3 linked regions of the Macaca fascicularis genome follow. The protein of the gene in region 3 interacts with the protein of the main gene of each other region in a pairwise test. Links are inferred from orthologs where the notes say so. Each region holds a gene or a part of one and is shown on either strand. Other genes may lie near its edges. The genes, in order: FCHSD2, CDC42EP4 and FAM9B.

The links.
Region 1: the proteins of FAM9B (region 3) and FCHSD2 interact in binary tests that used the Homo sapiens proteins (3 or more experiments, as listed by UniProt). The two-hybrid records come from large-scale screens. The link is inferred for Macaca fascicularis from reciprocal best matches to the Homo sapiens genes FAM9B and FCHSD2.
Region 2: the proteins of FAM9B (region 3) and CDC42EP4 interact in binary tests that used the Homo sapiens proteins (3 or more experiments, as listed by UniProt). The two-hybrid records come from large-scale screens. The link is inferred for Macaca fascicularis from reciprocal best matches to the Homo sapiens genes FAM9B and CDC42EP4.

What each region holds. Positions count from the first base shown.
Region 1 is NC_088388.1:71,691,081-71,696,317, reverse strand, and holds part of FCHSD2 (F-BAR and double SH3 domains protein 2), read left to right. Parts: intron 1-1,784; coding exon 1,785-1,901; intron 1,902-3,912; coding exon 3,913-4,017; intron 4,018-5,237. UniProt on the Homo sapiens protein: Adapter protein that plays a role in endocytosis via clathrin-coated pits. Contributes to the internalization of cell surface receptors, such as integrin ITGB1 and transferrin receptor.
Region 2 is NC_088390.1:79,651,862-79,657,198, forward strand, and holds the start of CDC42EP4 (cdc42 effector protein 4), read right to left. Parts: upstream 3,043-5,337; 5' UTR 2,934-3,042; intron 1,961-2,933; exon of another isoform or gene 1,926-1,960; intron 1-1,925. UniProt on the Homo sapiens protein: Probably involved in the organization of the actin cytoskeleton. May act downstream of CDC42 to induce actin filament assembly leading to cell shape changes. Induces pseudopodia formation, when overexpressed in fibroblasts.
Region 3 is NC_088395.1:8,681,236-8,686,271, forward strand, and holds part of FAM9B (protein FAM9B), read right to left. Parts: intron 3,452-5,036; coding exon 3,352-3,451; intron 2,506-3,351; coding exon 2,394-2,505; intron 1,017-2,393; coding exon 918-1,016; intron 1-917. UniProt on the Homo sapiens protein: May play a role in meiosis.

The sequences.
Region 1 (5,237 bases), on a different chromosome or scaffold from region 3:
CTCAGATAATTAACATGCCCAAGATCATAAAGCTAGTAGTACCATAAAATGGCCTACAGTGGATTCAAACTAAGTCTATCTGACTCAAAAACCTATTCTTGGACTCTTCAGAATTTATCTTTCTACTTTTACAGATCACTTCCTCTGACTTTTGTATATTTCATTTGTATCTATGTCCAGAGTTAACATTTTAATGTTCCTGACTTTGAGAACAGATGTAAATTGAATGCCCAGACTCATTTGCAAAGCAAAATATAATAATAAAGTTCATTCCCATTAGAATATAAAATGTGAATGTAAAGATGGTTAGGTTTGAATTTTGATTATTTTGCTCTATTTAAATTCATTTGTCATTGTTATAATCTAGCTTTAGCTGAAATATCTGTATAGAACAAAAATTTTTAAACTCTGCCCCATCACAATTCCCCCAACAAAAATATTAATTTTTAAAATCCAGTTTATCAATTTCTACTTACTCTATCAATTTTGAACTATGAGACCTTGCAAAAGAATTACTAGGCCAGGTGTAGTGGCTCATCCCTGGCATTTCAACACTTTGGAAGGCCAGAGTGGGAGGATTACTTGAGCCGAGGAGTTCAAGACAAGCCTGGGCAACATAGAGAGACCTTATCTCTAGAAGGAAAAAAAAAAAATTAGCTGGGTATGGTGGCACACACCTGTAGTTCCAGCTACTCAGGAGGCTGAAATGGAAGAGTCACTTGATCCCGGAGGTCAACGCTGCAGTGAGCCATGATCAGAATTTCTAAAATTCTTTTCATTCTACAATTTTGCTTCTTTCTATATGAAAAGCCTCTTTGGGTGATTCATATTTTTTTAAAATAAATTCCTAATTATTTCAATAAAGTTTGTTTTTCAGGGGTCTTTAAGAATTTAGAGAGAATTAAAATAGTTTTGTGTTTAATGGCTCTGATTCTGTAATCAGACAATTACGGTTGTAACATTTAATATCTAGGACATCCAAGAAAAATTAACCTCTCTGAGCCTTTGTTTTCTTTTCTATAAAATGGTGTGGGACCCACGTCATAAAGTTGTTTAAAAAAAAAGTTATATGAATCACTTTCCATAGTACTTTGCACAATAGGAGTTAGCTATTAATATTTTTATTTAGATTTTGTGGTTTGTTCTTTGTAAATCAGAATCATAGCATACAGCTAGAAGAAACCCTTGGTGATCATTTTATCTAGCACCCTTATATTTCATATGAAGCCTGGAGAAAGGGCAAAAGCTGACTTTTAAGGTTTGGTGGCAAGTTGATGATGGACCTCTAACGAGTTCCATCTGCCTTGGGTTAGCAGGAGGGGTGCAAGATTGTGTTGCTGTTATTGTATTGTTTTGTTCTTATCTTTAATGATTCCTTACTCACATTGAAACTATTAAGTTGTTTCCATTTTTATTTATGCAATGATTTTATCACCATAGTAGGTTGGCATGAATACATTTTCTTCTTTGCTTACCTTAGCTAGCTTCCTTTTCACTCGGAAAGATAAGTCCGTCACACCCAAAAAGATAAGTCTGCAGTATTAGAGATGATGCTTTTGTGTTCAGCACTGTAAGACAAAAAGTTTATGGTCTTTAATGGTTTTATACTCATCTTACTCTTCTGGTAACTTTCTGTGACGATAAGACATTGTTTCCAGCAGTAGTGGAGTGTGCCTTATGTTTTGAGTGCTGATTAAGTGAAGGCCTTCTGATCCATCTACAAAGCAGTGGTGGTTGCAATAAAGATAGCAATATTTTTATCTCTGTTCTGTCTTGTGTTGTAGAGCCGACAATTAGAATCAGAAACTGGGACCACAGAGGAGCACAGTCTAAATAAGGAAGCTCGAAAATGGGCCACACGTGTGGCACGTGAGCATAAAAACATTGTTCATCAACAACGGGTAAGTATAAGAGAAAGTCCTAGTTACATTCACCTTAAGCCAAATGTCAAACAGTTTAAGGAGCTGAGTTTTATTAATGTGAAAAATATCCTATATGTGTTGTTTTGTTTTGTTTTGTTTTGTTTGAGACAAGAGGCTTGCTCTGTCACCCAGGTTGAAGGGCAGTGGTGTGAACATAGCTTACTGCAGCTTCAACCTCCTGGGCTGAAGCAATCCTCCCACTTCAGCCTCCCAAGTAGCTGGGACCACAGGCACACACCACCATGCCTGGCTAATTTTTTTTAGGTTTTTTGTAGAGATAGGGTCTTGCCATGTTTCCCAGGCTGGTCTCAAACTCCTTTGCTCAAGCATTGTATGTGTTTTTTCTGTACTTTCTCAACACTTAGCAGTGTGCTGTCAGCTATCTACTCATGTTGGAATTTCCTTAAGCCCTCCATCAGCAATACATTAATTCACCAGTTTACCATAAAATTGCCAAAGAAAAGCTGTGATAGTGTGTTACGGGCAGGGGAAGAGACATATGTTGAATTAATACAGGTTTTCATCCCTCAAGACATATTTTTTAAAGACACAATTATAGGTTTCATGAAAATATATGTTTGGCTGGGCGCAGTGGGTCATGCCTGTAATCCCAGAACTTTGGGAGGCTGAGGCAGGTCGATTGCTTGAGCCAGGAGTTTCAGACCAGCCTGAGCAACATGGCAAAAAACCCAGTCTCTACAAAAAATTCAAAAATTAGTCGGACATGGTGGCACACACCTATCTTCCCACCTATTCGGGAGGCTAAGGTTGGGGAGAATTGCTTGAGCCCAGGAGGTGGAGGTTACATTGAGGTAAGATCATGCCACTGCACTCCAGCCTGGGTGACAGGGCAAGACACTGTCTCGAAAGAAAAGAAAAGAAAGGGAAGGAGAAAGGGAAGGAGGACAGGAAGAAGGATGGGAAAGAGGAAGGGAAGGAAGAAGGGAGAAAATATATCTCAAAGACTAAACTCTAAGCACAAAGAAATTATTTTCAGTATAGTACTTTTTTTCTCAATTTCATTTATTGATACCTATATCCTTCTCATTCTTTGCTTTCACATCCTACTTCTTAAAAGAATTGCCTATGCTTATTATCTATAGAATCTCACCTCCCACTTACTTTTTAGCCCATTACATTTGAGCTTTCCTTTCCTTTCCTTCCCCCTGTATCACTTCATAGTCTAAGCTTACCAAAATCACCAATGATGTCTGTGTTGCTAACTTCAAAATGGACAGTTTGATTTCTCATTTTTCTTAATCTGTCAACAATTTTATCACAATTGACAACTCCCTTTGTCTTAAAATGTTATCTTCTCTAGTCATCCACGATTCAACATTGTCCTGGCTTTCCTTCTGCCTTTCTGGCTATTCCTAGATTTTTTCATAGTTTCCTCTTTCTCCAGCCCACAATTAAATATTCATTTTCTCAGATTGTTTGGCTATCTTGTTTTTTTTATTCTTTATCCTCATATAGGCATTCTCAATCACTTCCATGGTTTTACTTTACCACCAAATCATAAATTATTATCTTCAACATTGGGCCTAGCTACTACTGTGTATCCATATAACCTCTTTCCTGTTTTGACATCTTTTCACTATCTCACAGGCATCTCAGATTCAATGTTCTACTTATGTAATGTTGCTTAACAAACCACCTCAAACTTAATGCCGTAGAACAAGAGGGTTTTTACATTATCTCTCACTAATCTGAGTATTGGGTGGTCTCAGCTTAGCAGTTTCCCTTGGGGTCTCTCATGTGGCGTCAGTCAGACAGTGGCTGGTCCTGGCTTCCCCACTGAAGGGACTCTCTGTAGTAAGTTTGTTACTAGTAAGTCTATAATTATTTCAAAATGTTCAAAAAATAAATAAATGAAAAAAATTGTGGCTACTAGTCACTAAAGCCTTTTGAATTATGTAAATACTCTAATCACTTAAGGAAGATAAAAAGTAAAAAACAGTCATCATTATTGTCCCATTTTTTTTAATAGGTTCTAGATGATCTGGAGTGTCATGGACCTGCTGTATCAGAACAAAGCCGAGCAGAGCTGGAACAGAAAATAGATGAAGCTAGAGAAAATATTCGTAAAGCAGAGGTAAGGTGGCAGCTAACTGTGGCATTTTGCCCAGGTCTAATGACACTGTCGCAACTGTGATATGCACCTTTAAAACTGAGTTGCTACACACACTGAGATGAAGGTGATTCACCGTCTTCATTCGTGTCCACAGTAGGATTTTTTTTTTTTTTTTTTTTTTTTGAGACGGAGTCTCGCTCTGCTGCCCAGGCTGGAGGTGCAGTGCACGATCTCGGCTTACTGCAAGCTCCTCCTCCCAGGTTCATGCCATTCTCCTGCCTCAGCCTCCCGAGTAGCTGGGACTACAGGCGCCTGCCACCACGCCCAGCTAATTTTTTTTTGTATCTTTTTAGTAGAGACGGGGTTTCACCATGTTAGCCAGGATGGTCTCTATCTCCTGACCTCGTGATCCACCTGCCTTGGCCTCCTAAAGTGCTAGGATTACAGGCGTGAGCTACTACACCCGGCCATCCACAGTAGTATTTGTTAAGTACCTGCTCTGTGGAAGGCAGTACATATAACAAAAAGATGCCGTAAAGTTTACAGTCATGAAACATTAAATACAAAAGATTTAAGTCACAATGAAGATACTAATTTTAAAATTTCTACAAGGTACATAATAAACCACAGAGATTAATGGTAGAAAAATCGACGTATGTGTATCAATTTAGAGATATATATCAATTTAGATATATCTATCTCCTTATATATCAATATATATGGAGATATATATACATATATATTCATACATATATATTCAGAGCTTGGGAAATCTCCCCCATATGGAAGGTTCCCTGGATCCAGGGACATGAGCTGGGCTTTTAAGAATAGGGAAGATTTGGTTAAGCAAAGATGGGAAAAAATTTATAATAGTGGATTTTAATTTTTTATGGAGTCTTGGGACCTTTGAGAGTTGTATGAAAGCTGTGAAACATTCTCTCCCACGTACAAAAATGTACATTTTGTATACGGTGTTTAGAGTTCATATGCCTGAGGCTAATACTCTCTGCTCTAGATGGGGAGAGGTTGGGATAGGAAACAAGAAAGTATTAGCAAATGAGGAAGACACAGGGTATAATTTGGTAGCTGGATAGATTAGAGTGGAGGATTTTTGTGAGGAAATGTGATAGAAAATAAGTAAACTTGTTGTGGTTAGGGCCAGTTCATGGAGGACCCGTGCACACACTATCTACTCAGCAGCAACATGATGAAGGGGTATAGAGATAGACATTCATAAAAGA
Region 2 (5,337 bases), on a different chromosome or scaffold from region 3:
GAGGATGCAGTGAGCCGAGATTGTGCCACTGCACTGCAGCCTGGGTGACAGAGCAAGACTCTGTCTCAGAAAAAAAAAAAAAAAAAAAAAAAAAGGGCTGGCCAGATGCAGTGGCTCATACCTGTATGCCCAGCACTTCAAAAGGCCAAGGTCCGGGAAGATCCCTTGAGCTCAGGAGTTCAAGACCAGCCTGGGCAACATGGTGAAACTCCACCTCTACAAAAAAATACAAAAAATAGCTGGGCGTGGTGGTGGGCGCCAGTAGTGCCAGCTACTGGGGAGGCTGAAGTGGGAGGATCACTTGAGCCCAGGAGGATCACTTGAGCCCAAGGATGCAGTAAGCCTTGACGATGACGCTGCACTGCAACCTGGGCGACAGAGCAAGACCTGGTCTCAAAAACATTAATAAATAAAATAAAAATTATTTTTAAAATGAAAAGAATGCTGTAAGATTCCTCTCCCAGGTCAACACTCATTCCCGTGACCTTTATACATGAGACCACTCCTTTGCTTGTGGCTCCTTGGTCTCCGGTCCTGTGAGGCACTGTCTGGTTCCAGAGGCACCAGCACAGTGGAGGCAGGGTATAGAGGATAGGGACAAGCACGGTGGGTGGCCAAGGGTAAGAGAGAAACGAGGGGGAAAAAAGAAGAGGAATGTAAAAAGAGAGAGGCAGAAACCCCAAGAAATGGAAGAATCGTTCATAGTACAGGCCTAGGCTGTACCGCAGAGCAGGAGCAAACTGCCCTCAGTGGCAGGGACCCTAGGACTTCAGGGAGATTTCAGAGGGGAGGCGCTGAGACTCACCCCAGAACCACCACCCATAGGATCACAGTGGCCCCCTCCTAGTCCCTGCAGGGGTCTACCAGGATGCCTGGGAATCTACTTGGGATCTCCCCAAATTCACTGAACTCCCCCCCTTGTGGGAAGGAGCAGCTGTCTTCAAGGAGTGGAGAGGCAAAGTCCAAGTTCAGAGGAGATAAACCACCCCACTAATCAGTCAGTCACACGGGCAGCTCACACAGGGTAGTTGGTGAGAGCAGGAACCGGCAGGGCACCCCCGCATTCAGCAGGCTCTGGCTTCCCAGCAGAGATAGAGCCTCAGGAGATCCTGGTGGATGCCCCATTATTGCTCCAGGAGCCCCTGGGGCTGCCAGGGGTTCTCTCAGGGCCTGGCTCAGTCCCAGCCAACTCCCGATTTCTGGGAGAAATCCGCAGCTCAGCAATCCCTTCCTTTGTGGCCTGTTCTTTGTTCTCTTAAAATTCAGTCCATCCTGCTGGTGGTCCCTCCTCCACCCTAGCCTCAGAAGGGGGCGGGGGCTGCGGGAGTTATTGGAAACCCAGACTGCCAAAGAAGTTGCCTTGCAGGAGGCCCCTGTCACCGGCCCCTCATTGTTTACACTCGCTGGATGGGACCTTTCTCTGGTCCAGATGGCTGCTGGTTTCGGACGAGAGATTTTCCCTCCAGCACACGGGCCCCTCCGGGGAGAGCAGGGGGCTTCGCAGCGAAGGGGCTCCCGAGGACCCCACCCGGATCCAGCTGCTCAGCTATCTGGGCAAACAGTGGGCACCGGGCACCCAGTAAGAGATGTGGGAGCTGGTCAGATTGCAAGGGGTGGGAGTCGTGGAGAGAGAGAAGTTCCAGAGGCAGCAAGAAAAGAAAAGGCATTGTATTTCCCCTCCATTCTCCCAGGGAGAAAAAGAAAACTTCCAAAGCCCAGGCCGCAGTCACTGGGAAAACACAGGCAACCTGGTTTGAGTTAGCAGAGAGCACCCCTCCCCCAGTCCCTCTCGCTCGCTCGCTCTCTCTCTTGCGCTCACACACACACACACACACACACGCACTTCAGTCCTCTCCCAGGAAGCCGGCTCAGCCTCAGCCCCGGCTCCCGCCCAGCTCTCCAGCCCTCCTGGCCGGGGCACTCACCGACTGACCGGATCCCCGCGGGCAGGACGGCTCCTAGGGGACGTGCCGGAGGGAGGGGGCAGTTTTGTAACCCCGGCTGGGGGCGCTCCGGGGAGGGGGCGGGGCCAGGGACGGCCGTTCCGCGCGCACCCGCCCCAAGCGGGCGATTAAATCATTAACCAACCGCTCCCGCCAGCGACCCCGCGGAGCGCGCTGAGCTCTGGGTGCACCGGCCCCGTGCGCAGCAGCCTCTCGGGCTCCAAAGGGACAGGCGGCTCGACTGCTCTCCCCCTGCACCCCGCCGGGAGGCGCCTCGACCTCCCGGGCTTCCGAGGGAGCGGGCGGGGCGGGATCCTGGCGGGGAAGGGAAGGGTTCGCGGGGCGGGAGTGGGGGAACGGGGAAGCATTTGTTCCTTTGGCCATTCCCTTCCAGACAGCTCCTTCCCGCTGGCTCCCCGGCCGCGTGACATTGGGTGGCGTGTGCTGCAGTGTGTGTACGAGAGCGAGATGTGTACACGCCTCTGCTCAGGCGGAGAATTCGGTTCTTATTCACGGAGAACTCCGGGCGCACACACGCCCCCCTCGCGGAGATCGCGGGCCGCGCGCCGCCGATTGCTGCCCTCCTGCCCACACCGACACACACCCCATTCCTGGGAAGGGGGAGGCCCTTTAAAACCAGCCCCCAACCCGCCCAGCGGCGCCCTCGGCCAAGCCCAAGAGTTCCAGCGTAGAAAGGAAATCGAGTCCCGGCGACGCTGCGCCCGGCTCCCTGCCACCCCCTCCTCCGCACATCCCGCTCTGCCAGGACACTGGGTGCGCGTCTCCGGGTCCCAGTCACCGCGGCGGGTGCGGAGAGAAGCGCGAGCGCCGAGAAGTGGGGACTCCGCGCCCCTCTCCCCGCGCCGCGGCCTCGCATCCCTAGCTTGGATCCTCTCTGCCCCACAGGGGGGCTCGAGCCCCCCCAAGCCCACCCTGAGCACCCAGCGCGAAGGCGGCTACCACAGCCAGAGGCGGGTACCCGTCGCCTACCTCGGTCCCCGGGGACCCGAGCGCCGACCCAGCTGCGCTGTCTCCTCTGTGGGCTCCGCGCGGCGGCGGGGGTAGCGGCCCCTGTCAGCGCCGGCGTTTGTTTCCCTCTGGCTCTCGGGCTTTCAGGGCTGGGAGCCGCCAGGACACTCCCCTTCCAGGCTCCGCCCGCGCCCTCCCCGAGCACCCCTCCGCGCTGATGTCACGGCGCCGCCGCAGCCAATGGCCGTCGGGAACCTCTGCCCGGCTGCTCGGCCTCCTAGGTTCAAACCGAAAGCCTGAGACTTTCCCAACTCCATATGGGGCAGCCTGGGCCAGCCCGGCTTCCGGGAGACACCCCGGCCCAGCCTGCGCTCCGGCCGCGAACCCCCACAGGGGCCCCCAGGGCCAGGGGCGCGGCTCCCTCCGGGGGCCTGGCGCGAGGCTCTCTTAAGGCTCTTCCCCATTCGAGCCAGGACAGGAAACCAAGAACTCCAGCCCAGGTGGCGTCCCTCGTTCTTGCTCCCTCCCGGACCTGCTAACCACCTGGCTCCAGTACTGTTGGGAGTTGGGGGCAGGAGGGCTGACGCCACCAGCTTTGTGGGTGCCATCCCAGACTCTCGCTGGAAACGAGGGAGCAAGGAGGAGCCGGCCAGCCCCGAGGCCAGGCCTGAACTGGGCGTCAGAAGGGTTTCTACAGGGTGACAGCCCTTGAGCTCCCCGCATCCCCAAGTCTGTGCCTTTGCCTCCTAAGTATCAGCTGAGGCTAAATTTGCTCCAGGTGAACGTCAAGGAGATCAACTCCTGAGTCCCAGAGCCTGAATCCAACTCCCAGGCCTTGGACTCCATTCTTTTTAGAGGAATAGTTTCAGTTGAAATGATCATTATCAAGGTACAATGCCAGCTGCGAAGTAGTCAACTAAAAGAAAGTGGACAAGGTGCAAAGTGAAAGGTTCCCTTGCCTCTAGCTAAACCCCAACCTCGGTTTTTAAAGGAAGTGAGGGTGGAGGCCCCAGACTTTCCCTACGGCTTCAAGGTCACTAAGCCCTCAGGGACATTCTGCTTTCTGGGGACTGCACATTTCCGTTTCCCTCTGCAGTGCGACAGCAACCAGCTTTTGAGATCTGATGGTCTGACCACTCCATCCTGCTGTGAAAATTAAATTCTGGGCTGGACACAGTGGCTCATGCCTGTAATCCTAGCATTTTGGGAGGCCAAGGCAAGTGGATCACTTGAGGTCGGGAGTTTGAGACCAGCCTGGCCAACATGGTGAAACCCTATCTCTACTAAAAATACAAAAATTAGCAGGGCGTGGTGGTGGACGCCTGTAATCCCAGCTACTCGGGAGGCTGAAGCAGGAGAATCGCTTGAACCCGGGAGGCGGAGGTTACAGTGAGCCGAGATTGTGCTATTGCACTCTAGCCTGGGTGACAGAGGGAGACTCCATCTCTAAAAAGAAAAAAAGAAAAAAGAAAGGAAAATCAAATTCTGAACTGGACATCTGGAGGAAAGGTAGGGTTCGGAGCCACTTGGGAGGCAGACACAATGTGGATTCGAACCCTGGCGGGGTTATCATGGGTGTAAACCAAAAAGTGACTAAAGCAGGTCTCAATCAAACAGAGATTTAGTTAGCCAAGGTTGAGGATCCACCTGGGAAAAATCACCTTTTTTCCAAAAAGGGTTTCGGGAATTTCCATATTTAAAAGAGAAAAAGCAAACAGGAAAGGAAAAGAAGAGGGAGGGAGGAAAGACATTGAGGTTACAAGCACGTGAAACTCTGATTTAGCATCTGTAAATCTACATTTTATATGAAAAGGAATAGAAGAAAAAGTCAATGATGCATTGTCTCCTGCTCAGTATGTCTATAAGGAGCAAAGGAAATTAGGCTATGACACAGGTTTGTGAAACTGCAGCTGTCTGGAAACAAAAGGAAAGCAGTTTTTGTGGTTTCCAAGCTTAACTTAACTTCCCCACCTCCTTCTTGTTTTTTTTTGTTTTTTTTTTTTTTTTTTTTTTTGGAGACAGGGTCTCGCTCTGTCGCCCAGGCTGGAGTGCAGTGCTACAATCATAGCTCACTATAGCCTTGACCTCCTGGGCTCAAGCGATCCTCCCACCTCACCTTCCTGAGTAGCTGAGACTACAGGCGTGTGCCACCACACCCAGCTACATATTTTGTACTTTTCTTTTGTAGAGATAGGGTTTCGTCATGTTGCCCAGGCTGGTCTCAAACTCCTAGCTCAAGCAATCCACCCACCTCAACCTCCGAAAATGCTGGGATTAAACTTTCCCTTTGACACAGTGAATCTGGGGTCCCTAGATTCTATTCTCTTTCACATGGGGAAGTCACTGATTCCCACCTCTGACCCTTGGCTAGCCTGGCTCTCCTTATGTGTCAAAAGAGCGCAGGACCCCTTTACTAACCTCGTCT
Region 3 (5,036 bases):
AACACATCTCAGTTAGTGTAGAGGAGTGACATATGAACATGTCTTTTCACAAGATTATTAAAAAGAATACCTGGCCTCCCAAAAAAGAATTCCATTGCTTCCTAAATTATCTACATCTACATGAAGAAGAGGTTATTGTCTGATGATAATTTGCTAACGTGCTATACGACAGCAGATAATTCACAATTCACAACGTGTTAATAATCTGCTGGCTTTCCCATTTTGTTATACATCTGAACCATCTCTTATGATTACAAATTGTCATGTAAAACAATTACTAATAATTTTGTGAGTGAATATGCCATTAAAACGCTCCTGTATTACAGCAGGAAATAAAAGAGACACTCAGTAGTTACACTTGCCTACTTCCTATTTAACTAAAACTCTTGAAACAACACAAGTAAAAAAGATATCCAGAAAGGATTTAAGGACTTCCTGCCTTCCACCATAGATCTGTCATTGATGTTCTGAAAACTGAAAATAGTATCTTCATTAAAACCCATTTATGCCTAGTGTTCCATATAGGAACGCTAACCTTGTGGGAATCATGTATATCCTACTGCTCAAGGTCATTGCCAAGGTCTGATTTTTCATACACAAAAACAATTTGCAACCTCTGGCATAAATAAGTTAATGTGTTAATAAAGTGTCAATTTTATACATAAGATGTATATTTCTAGGTAAAATTTCCACTTTACCTTTTCCTGTTCTAAATAACTCCTACAAACTATTCATGAATCCTAAAAATACATTTACCAATACTATTATATCTGGAACAATACATTCAAAGTGAAAATGGTAAGTAATTTAAAATGTATAACCAAAATGTCTTTCCATACATTCAGAAACAAGCAGACTTTCTTCCATTATGCACGTGGTGTATTTTATAATGTATTATGTTACCAAATAGAACAGACCTTTAAGAATTGGTCACGTAGCAGCTTCATCTCTTTCAGCCTCTCTCTCCTAACACTTCTATATTGCTGCCACCTCTTCTGTTGTTCTTGAAATATTTTCTAGAATCCCACAACAAAATAGTGATAAAAATTGGGTAAATTTTAATACTTACAAAACACAATTCTCCATTAGCTTTAAAGGAATACTCTTTAAATCAATACTTCTGAACACTTTCTTTTAGACAACATTTAGGACCAATTTTAAACGATCGTGTTCGCCAATCACATGCTAAAAATGATGTATTAACCTTTTTCATCAGTCATTAAGTAAATAATTTTCTTACTTTCACATATTCAACACGTATGTCCTAATTTCTCGATTTCCAATGAAGAATATTTGATGAACCTTCCTACAATTTGTTGACCACAGATAGGTAAGATCTATACAGAAATTAACTAAGACACATTCTTTCTAGGATTTTAAGCATGTATTAAATCTTGGTCATTTCAATAGGCACATAGATGAACCACCCAATAATGATGGCCTTTCTGCACCTTGATTTAATCTCCAACAACAGTGTTCTCCTCTCCTCTACGTGGCACTCACTCACACAGTCATCCCCTAGATTTTGTCATTCCCAATGACTGCAACACCTATGTAATATTAATAATAGCAATGATAAGGAGCAACCATGGGTCAGATCACATCCTGAAAAACTTAAATAAACCTGTTACATAGAAACCTTTTGATCCTCCAACAACTCTGACGTAGGTACTCTTACCATGTCTCCTTTCGTAGATAATTTGCCCGTGGTTTCTGAGCTAGCAATGGTCAAGCTGAGATAAATAATTTTTCCACGGTTTCCGAGCTAGCACAGAGATAAATAATTTTTCCGTGGTTTCTGAGCTAGCAACAGTCAAGCTGGAGTTGGATCCCAAGCAGTGTGGCTGCATAGTCCCAGCCCTTGAACCACTGTAGTCAGCTGTTTCTCCATCTTCCCAACATACAGCCACTACCTCCCTGCCATTGTAGGTCACTCACTTCAGTACTATAGCTCAGGAGTCTGTCGAGACCTGACACCCACTGAATGGAGCACTGTTTACTGCCCATTGCCCACCCCATGTGCTCGGGTAACTCAGTCCCAGCTGAAATTCCACAGCCAGTCATCTATCCTCATCCCTGCATCTATTCCCTGCCCAACTCTCCCTCTGTCAATCTGCTCGGCTAGACCCCAACCCAGGAAATTCCAACCCTACAGCTGCTCTTACACAAATACTCCAACTGGGCTCACTTCAATTTCTTCATCGTTATGATGCTGACTTCAGTTGGACCCCTAATGCTGCATGGCAATTATATTCCCCTGGTACATGAGTCCACTAACGGGCCCCCTCTCTGGGCTCATGCACTCTTCCTTCTTTGCTGAATTTCTGCATGAACAATTACTCCCTGAGACATTGATACAACAGGTTAAACATAAAGCTAAGCCTGATACCAACAATTAGTTCTTCTTCTTCTCCCTCTTCTTCTTCTTCTTCTTTCTGCTCATCTGTGATGTATTCTTCAAGGACATTCAGCAACTTCAGAGAATGTATATAATCACGTTTCTGCCTGTAATACATAATAAGTAACACGGTCAAACTTCATAGAGAGATGAAAAATTAATCCTATTCAAACCCAAACTGACTTGACATAATTTATCCTATAAAGTAGCAAGGGAGTAATAGTAGCTGAAATCTTCTTTTTGGAAAAAGGTGAAATGAGTTGCTCTCATTCTGAAAGGATTCCTTCCTTCCTGACTACTAGAGCAGCTATCTTATATTCTTTACCTGCTGAAGACAAAGGAGGGTTTACTGCACTATAAGTTTCCCAGAAACATTCATTTTCTCTAAGAGCAGTTTACTTTTCATTTCCTTTTACTGAATAACATATGGGTTCTCATAAGTAGGTTCAAGAATATCATAGCCATTCATCCCGTAAGATTTCCCAGAAGAAATGCTTCACTTAACTATTTCTCCACTTTGGCACACCAATGGTTTTGTAAAAGAAATAGTGAAAACAATTTAACTAAAATAGATAACTTATTTACAACATAAGGTTATCCCTTTCTACATAATTGAGTATCGTTAAGGATCTACAGACTAAACATTGAGAACATTTATCTTATATGCAGCTACCATATTTCTAGAAATGGATAAACATTAATTTTACAGGAAGACTATTTTTATCTGGAAGGCAAAAAGAGGTCATCTTCATTGACTTCTAGGTAATATCTCTTGATTCTGTTAAACTGAGGTTATAAAACTAAAGAAACTTACCTGCTTAGAGAACAATCAAGTAAAATATGTTGTTCACTAGAGACGCCAATATGTACAGGGTAGTTTTTGAAATTATTTGCACCAACGAATACAAAGAAATGATATAAATATCATTACGCGAGAAAGCCAACAGTCATACCTTTTAAGTTGTTTTTTTCTCAAAGCATTTTTACTTTTGTTCTTTGTTTTGCTGCAAGCTTTATCCATTTTCATCTTTTTTCTTTTTGCAGTAAGATCCTCTTTAATGTCAGTTAGTAAATGAAAATGGATTAAAAGTTAATGTTGAAAAGTAGTTTATTTGCATATACTGACATCAATATGGGACATTATGGTTCAGCAATACAAGAAGGATATTTAAAATATAAAATTCAAAAATCATTTCAAAAAGCAAGATTTACTCACTTATTTTCTGTAAAACATTTCAGGTATTAATATTCGTATTTCAATTCCAATTTGTATAGCTGAAAATCACTTAATTGACGGATGATGAAAAAAAGCAAATAATTAAAAGTTTCTATTTTTTAAATGTGCAGAAAGGGTTATAAGCACAGACTTTAATTTCTACATTTACAAAATGTCCTACAATTCAAAGGAGATGTTTCCATGAAGTACTGCACAACTCATTATGTAAAGCACACAAAAAAGTATCATATAGTAAAACCATCCAAAGGGTAGAAATAAGTTAATACACAGTAAGAAAAGCATTTTTAAGCAATCTAGTGATTGATGCTATTAACTGTATTTTAATAAAAGAAGCCATGGCCATGAGTATGAAAATTTAGGTTTAGGTAAAGAAATACACTCAAAAACACTTTTAAAATATTTTCTTGCAGCTTTTTATATGACATTTGTGCCCATAGTGCTGTGTTTCAGAAAACTGTAATACTGCAAGGAATGCTTTCCTAAACATGATTTCACATCAGAGACCTACCATCAATTGCTAAAAACAGTTTTCAGCAATCATAAAAGATTTGTACCATAATGCAAATATTTTTTACATACAGTCTCCATCTATAACGCCCAATGTATTAGGCAGCTCACAAAACCGGCACTTTTTGTCACCAAGCAGAGCAAAGCTTTCCAAATATACTGCTTGTATGAATCATCGCTATCGAAGAGCTGAAAACTGAATTGAGCTTTTCAAAAGTAAGAGTATTGTCTCCATCATCTTTACAGAAATTTTCTCAAACTTTTTTGAAAATATGGTCCCTATAACAGTGCAACTAATATTTCACACAGCAATATAAAGTTTATGAGTTTTTGGATCCAATTACATGTTTCTCACTAGATAGAAAAGTTGTCCTTACTTTTGTACTACACAGTTTATTACTGGAATAATAATAGAAAATGATTTTAGAGAATTCAATTTTCTCTTGTACTTCAAATAAAACAAAATCAGAAAGCTGTGACAATAGAATAGCTAAATTAAGAACATGAAAAACTCTTATTAAAAACTCTGAGTACATATGGACAGGAAGAAGGGACCAACAGACAACTGGGCCTACTTGAGAGTGGAGGGTAGGAGGAGGGTGAGGATCAAAAACCACCCATCAGGTACTATGCTTATAACCTGGGTGACAAAATAATCTGTATACCAAAACCCTGTGACATGCAATTTATCTATATAACACACCTGCACATGTACCCCCAAACTTAAAGTGAAAGCTTAAAAAAAACCTGATATATGACTTAATCTGCGTACACTAAAAGGAACGAATAGAGCTATTTCTCCTCCAATGTCCTCTAATATTCTCCAAACAATTAAATTTCCACGTGTATGAAAGAAAAGCCATCCATCTCGCTTCACCATTATTAGAAGCATTC